Linked DNA regions of Danio rerio. The protein of the gene in region 1 interacts with the protein of each later gene in a pairwise test. Links are inferred from orthologs where the notes say so. Each region holds a gene or a part of one and is shown on either strand. Other genes may lie near its edges.

Region 1 (3,840 bases):
AGGCATAAGCGCAGCTATGAAGAAGACGATGAGATGGACACGCAGTGCCAACAGACCAAAGATATCAGCCAAGGTAAGAAAGAATAATTAACCTTATCAGTCTGTGAGCATGTAGACTGTTTTGGTCTACCAATGATATATAAATGTTTAGGACTAAAAGGTTTGTCATTGAACAGGAGCTCAAAGCTCTTCTGAGTCTCACGGCAACACTGAGCCGAAGCGTCAAGAGACCGAAGCCCCCAGTCAGGACTCGTCTTCATCACACTGCACATCCAGCCTGGATCTCAACTTCCCTTTGCCTGGTGAAAAGGGCCCAGCCTGTCTTGTTAAGGTTTAACTGTTCTTTCATCTTAATCCATTGTCTTGACACACGCTCAATTAAATTATTTTTGTCATAGGTTGTCGTTTTTAATGCGCTGCTTTCAGACTCAAGCCTTTCAGAATCAAGCTGTCTTGAGCAGCCACATGTTAACATAGTAATTTACTTGCAATAATATGATGGTTCGCACCATTGGATTGTTCTCCACCTACACAGACAGTCATATAAATCTAGCGTCTTCTGTAATTGGCAGGTGTATGAGGACTGGGACAGTTTCAAGCTGAATGACATGTTGGAGGTATTTGGTATCCTCTCTGTGGACCCAGCCTTGAGCGTGATTGCAGATGAGAGGTAATCTGGAGCCTTTTTTGAGATGGTTGTAATTGCTATAGGAGGTTCTCTGCAGTTAAACTGTAATATAATGTTTGTCATATTTTCAGAGAGGCATCTTCATTGCTGGACCCCACAGAAGGCATGGAGACTATGGAGGAACAGAGAGTTCACAGCCCACCAGCGTCACTTGTACCACGACTGCACATGCTGTATGCTCAACCTCTAGCGCACAACAACCCACTGCTGCCCTCTAGTCCACTGGAGAATAACGCAGACTGTAAGATATTACTTGTGTGATTTGGGATTTGCTCATTTTAGTGAAATTTATACACTCACCACAGTCACTTTATTATTTACACCTTGCTTGTGTTTAAGTTGACATTTTTATTTAAATTCTTTATTTAACAGGGATTGTGGACAATCAAAAAACTGCCCCAGAATTAGCTACATAGCTACATAGCTGTGTTTTATTATGATATTTTGATAATGTTTTTGTTATATAATTTGTATTTTCCTGCCCAGAATTAGCTACATAGCTAATTCTGGGCAGGAAAATACAAATTATATAACAAAAACATTATCAAAATATCATAATAAAACACACACTTAATGGTCACACACCTGAAGCATTTTAACCAGCATTTCAAATGCAGCTTGAACTTGGACTCTGTCTTATGATAATTGGTAGATTATTCCATTTACAAACAACTCAGTGACCCTAAAATTCTTCAATCAACTCTTGATGAAACAATATCCTTCAATTTGAGTTTAGTATTAGGACTTATCAGGCACTTTTTTCATTGCAAGATGTAGCACACTATGGCTCACTTCTGGGGGCTTTTTCACTGCAATCTACCTGGTACTAAAAAAAGTACCATCTCGGGTGAGGTTTCAAGCAAGCTGTACCATCACTGAGATGTGACGTATACACACTACTGATCACTAATTGATCACTTTTGTGGTCATGAGACACCAAACCTGCTATATTTAAATAGTCAGCTGCAGCCACAAACCATTTTTCTACCACTGCAATTAAAAGGCATTTGAAATGACCACATTGTGGTCGGCATAGAGGTCCAGACATTTCTCATCAGTAGCTGAGGAGTGGCTAGAGATAGTTGTGTGGCAATCTGGTATAGGCAACAGTGCAAAGTTCCTAGTCCCCTAAATCACATTTCTTTCAACTTCTGAAAATCATCTTGAGCATGTCTACAAGCCTAATCAATGAAGTTGCTGCTATGTGATTGGCTGATTAGAGATTTGTATTAACGAGTATTTGAACAGTAATACATAATAAAGTGGTCAGTGAGTGTGGATTATTATAGTATTAAGTAATTGTGTAAGTGTGTGTGTGTGTGTGTGTGTGTGTGTGTGTGTGTGTGTGTGTGTGTGTGTGTGTGTGTGTGTGCGCGCGCATTGTACATGTTACCATTGTAAATATATTACAAAATGATGACCAGATAGTGAGAAGAATTAGTATCAGCTGTTGACAATCCTGTTTCAAGTCCAAATGATGGCTTTTTTGTGTGTGTACATTCTCCAGATTTGAGTTGTGTTCTTGGCGAGCTGGCTTCAGTCCGAGCAGAGCTGCTCACATTCTTTACACATATCCTGATGGGAGATTCACTTGCTGCAGAGTTCCTCATTCTCCATCTCATCTCCAATGTGTATGTTTCTTTTTGTTTATTCTGAGTGGCTTTGTTGAGCGCCTTATGCATGCATACTATTCTGCAAATTCCGACTTGTATTCTAATGAAAATAAAATAAATGCAAATAAGAATGATTTTTTTTCCACAATGATGCCTACATCATCATATTATCTTTTGGAAGAAACCAGCAAATATAATTTGCTGGTTGAATAAAAGTAACTTTAAGTAAGAATTTTCCTGAGGTATGGATGATTTCGGACTTGACTAGTAATTTATATAGCATATTTTGTTTTGGGATGTTCCTTAAAGTCCTTAAAGACGTTTTAAGATGATTTTCAGCTTCAAGAAAAGTGAAATGTTTTCTACACAAACCTTGTAACCCACAGCCCTTCAGACTACGATTCATAAAGATTTACTATGTCTTTTTTTTTTACAGATACAGCAGACGGGATGTTCTTCCTTTGGGCAAATTCACATTGAATCTCAGTGGCTGTCCTCTCAGCTCTCCATTCACAGAGCATCTCTTCAAAGTCATCCAACAGCTTGTGCCATCTGTAAGTCATCTACATTGTAGATCTTTCTTGCATTACCTCTATTATAGATACAATTGATTATATACGACAAGCAACACTACTACTTTTTAAACATGATTCCCCTTTTTTTGCTAGTCATACCGACTATCAATGAGCCTGCATAATATGAACACCCAGCGCATGGTGCCTCGGAAAGACTACACCGCTAACCGTCTAGTGAGCGGGACTCTTCAGCTGGCCAAAAACACATCATTGTTTCTGGATGAGACGCAGTTGGAGCAGGGCCAACTGGACTCCACAGGTGAGAGCACTGATTACCGCAGAATACAGTAGGAGTCCAAACGTCTGAGGCCACATTAGTTTAATCCGCTTTATCAGTCTTTAATAATTTGCATGACTCAGTCAGACTGAAGAGACTTCATATAAACACTTCAGTCAATCCAGCTGTTCTCAGTTTGAAAGAATTAATTAAAAAGAGTTGATGTTGATTTAAAAATATATATTGCATGCTCCATGTTGTGATGCACATGTTTTATGAATCCTACAGAAAAGCATGTTATGAGACTATTAGCTTTATAAAAGCTGCACTGATATATATTAGGTATGAAATTGAAGCAGAAATATTTGTTTGCACATTGTAGCTCTAGTGGCATTGTTTGGAGTGTTTGTTTACACTCTTACTGGCAGAGGCTGTTTGCACTGACTCTGCCCACTAGTGTGCGGTGTAAACAGTTAAAATGAATGTCAATATTTTCTTTTGTCAGCAACAGTGTGTAAAAAGTAAGATGGTTGTAGGGGAAACTTGATGCAACAGACTTTTAAGTCTTAGCAAAATGTCTTAACAAAAATGAATAAAATGTAGGGCTGGGCTATTTGGCCTAAAATCAAAATCTCAATTTATTGAAGATTTTAACTCGATTTGCGATTAATAAATGATTATTTTATTTGTTTATTTTATGCCCTCATATTTCCTTGACAAGTTTTGTTCAGTAAATATGCTCACATA
Region 2 (3,167 bases), on another chromosome or scaffold:
TGAAAGGCATCTTTAATAAAACATGAACAAACATCAGATTTCATTCAGCTCTGCTCCAATGCAAATAGCATTTATTATAAAAAAATATCTAGCCTTCTGTACTCACTCCTTTTCTGACCAGATGATAGGCGAGATCAGTGGCCAGCATATCTGGACTGAGGGCTTCTTCCATCTTTGCTTGATTGACCTAAAAAAAAAATAGAAAAATATAACATACTGCAAGCAGAATCTACAATTAATAGAAAAACTTCTCCTTTCACTGCTTAAATTTCACCCTAAAATTGGATTACTACACGTCCAACAGGTTTACATCTCATTCCACTTCATTTACTATTTAACCAAAGTAACATTTTTGCTTTTGATTACCATTGTTCATGATAAAACTGCATTAACTTGTGATGTAACCCGTCTCTCACCTTTAGAGTTGAGATGACGCCTGTCGCCACCTGCAGCACAGCGTGTACAGTATCATATGTATCAAACATGGCTTCTTTATCCTCCTGCAGTGATGAAATCTTGAATTAGGGAATGTTTTCATTTTTAAAGGTTACATTTGACATTTTCTTCCTGTAGTTTGTGGATTTACCTGTAAGTCTTTGTTGTACGTGCTTGGTAAGCCTTTGAGTGTCATCAGAAAGCCTGCACACTGAATTAAAATGAGATTTGATTTGAGTAAGTCTCAATGTTTTTGTGTATAAATATTAAAAATGTAACTTTTAAATGTAAATTCTAAATGTGAACTATAAATAAATATAGTTTATAAAATCTCTAGCTATTAATACATCAGTGGATGTACTGACGTTAAAGCTGATTGTGTTTTAGATACAATGATGCATTGACTGCCACCATTTATCAATTGATTATTGTTTTAATTCACAACCATCAACTTATTGAATACTGCATGAAAAAGAACAATTTAGTTTAGTCAATGTTTGATGGCATCTACCGAAACGAGGATGTTATTAAATAGGCTACATTTTATACAGAGTTATTATCAGAGAAATTCTGTGGTTTTAGCAGTGGTGGAAAGAGTGCTGAAAAATCATTTTCAAGTAAAAGTACCATTACTTGTCTAAAAATGTAGTGCAAGTAGAGTAAAAGTATCTGTTGTAAATATTACTCAAAGTATGAGTAAATAGTAGACCTTTCAAAACATTTCAGGAGTAGTGAGTAGTGAGTAGTGAGTATTACGCGGTAAAAAGCTGATGCGTTTACATGTAATTTGTGGATGTGTGTAAACGTAACATTCTGTAGTGCAGTGGTTCTCAAACTGTGGTACGTGTACCACTAGTGGTACGCAGGCTTACTTCTAGTGGTATGCTGAGGAATTGCTGAGTAATGAATGAAAAAATTTATAAAATTTTGGCTGTTCTCTAAGACCTATGATCAAAGCCCTGTGCTTAAAATGTTTACTTTAGTGTATTGCGTCTTCAGCTGCTAAAAATCAATCCAATTGGCGCAGAACTAGAGAAAGAGGTGCGTGGTGCTTGAAGAGCAGATATGTGATAAAGCAGTGGTACCAGGGCACACAAAAAAAATCATTAATTATTTCCATTTTATATATTATCTAAGTCTGTCCGATCATTTATTTTGAAAATTCTTTTGTTTTGGAAAAATTGCCGTGTTCTCCTTTTACATCTTGATCACTTTTTAATAATGTTTTTAATATGCCAAAATTTTAACCACAGGCTAGCAAAATGAGTAAGAACTGCCAACGAATGGATGCGCAACCCATTTGTCAACAAATCAGGTAAATCCAGCATGAATGTGCAAGAATATCAACTGCTGTAGATCGCAAATGATGGCGGCTGTTCACATATCGTGTCATTTCCACCTGCAAGTTTGTTATTTATAATGAAGGCGACAGCATCACAATGCGCTTGCGTATTCCAGTCGTAACATGTTGAAAACATCTTAACTTTTCAGAATGCCACACCATGAGTCACGTGACAAGAACTGACTGATTGGCTTCATATTTTATAATTTCGGTAGACTAATTATCTCAAACTAAGACAAACACAGAACACAGAAACACTGCAGTGCTATTTAACTTTCTCCATAAATAAAACTTGTATCAAAGTGGAATAAAGTTTTGTCAGCTTGACATCCTCTGAGAAAAACGGGTTCTCAAGCAATCTACATACAAGTTAATGTTTGGATTTCAAAAAGTTTTACAAATATGTCATATGTGCATACAACACATATTTCAAAAATTATTTAAAAAAATTATAAATATGAATATAAATATGACTGTCTCGTTTTCGAACTGTGCAGTGCTGTAGCTGCTTAATTTGGCCAACTACACTACTTTCACACTACACTTTATTTCAATACTGGTCATTATGGTGGTACTTGGAGAGGCAATTTTTTTCTTAGGTGGTACTTGGTGAAAAAAGTTTGAGAACCACTGCTGTAGTGCATTTAGTTATTGCCCAGCAGGCACACAATGTCATAAGATGTCAATAATAGGTTAGATTTAGGTTGTGATGTCAGGTGACCAAAATTCAAAGTCTTGCCAGCGTCAAAGGACAACGTTATTTTGAGATCCAATTTGATGTCAAATGATGTCGATATTTGGTCGATTTTAGGTTGTGTTAGAAAGTGACCAAAATCCAACGTCGAGCCAACATCTTAAACCAATGTCATGTTGACATCAAATACTGACTTTTCTTCATCAGCTATGGCAAACAAAATCCAACATCTGATAGACGTCATAGTGGTAACGTCCACACAACATCAAGCTGTAACATCATTAGACGTTGATATTTGGTTGATTTTAGGTTGGACATTGATAGCGGCCTGACATTGGGTTCTGATGTCAACCTGGTTTTTATATCCAAACAAAATGCAACGTCCCCACAAGATGCTGAAATTTTGTGCATGCAGGGTGTTTAAGGCCATTTCGGTCATTATACAGTAAACATCTGTCATCTTCTCATCAGTGACATGCAAATGTACTAGTAAAAGTACACAGTTTTAAAACTACTTAATAAATTGCAATTCCTGAGAACAAAAATACTCAATTACAGAAGTTGGAGAATTTGTCATTTGTTTCTATTCATATGATGGACAGTGTGCTGGTTCATCCCTCTGTTAGTGGTAAGGCCATGCAATGTACGATGCCATAATGAGTAATGAATAAACGAATGAAAATACAAAGACCTATC

Evidence for each region.
Region 2: the proteins of mcmbp (region 1) and asl interact in binary tests that used the Homo sapiens proteins (3 or more experiments, as listed by UniProt). The two-hybrid records come from large-scale screens. The link is inferred for Danio rerio from reciprocal best matches to the Homo sapiens genes MCMBP and ASL.

What each region holds. Positions count from the first base shown.
Region 1 is NC_133188.1:28,759,985-28,763,824, reverse strand, and holds part of mcmbp (mini-chromosome maintenance complex-binding protein), read left to right. Parts: coding exon 1-73; intron 74-176; coding exon 177-331; intron 332-572; coding exon 573-670; intron 671-759; coding exon 760-929; intron 930-2,195; coding exon 2,196-2,319; intron 2,320-2,737; coding exon 2,738-2,855; intron 2,856-2,969; coding exon 2,970-3,135; intron 3,136-3,840. UniProt on the Homo sapiens protein: Associated component of the MCM complex that acts as a regulator of DNA replication.
Region 2 is NC_133196.1:33,927,494-33,930,660, reverse strand, and holds part of asl (argininosuccinate lyase), read right to left. Parts: intron 647-3,167; coding exon 587-646; intron 501-586; coding exon 417-500; intron 188-416; coding exon 107-187; intron 11-106; coding exon 1-10.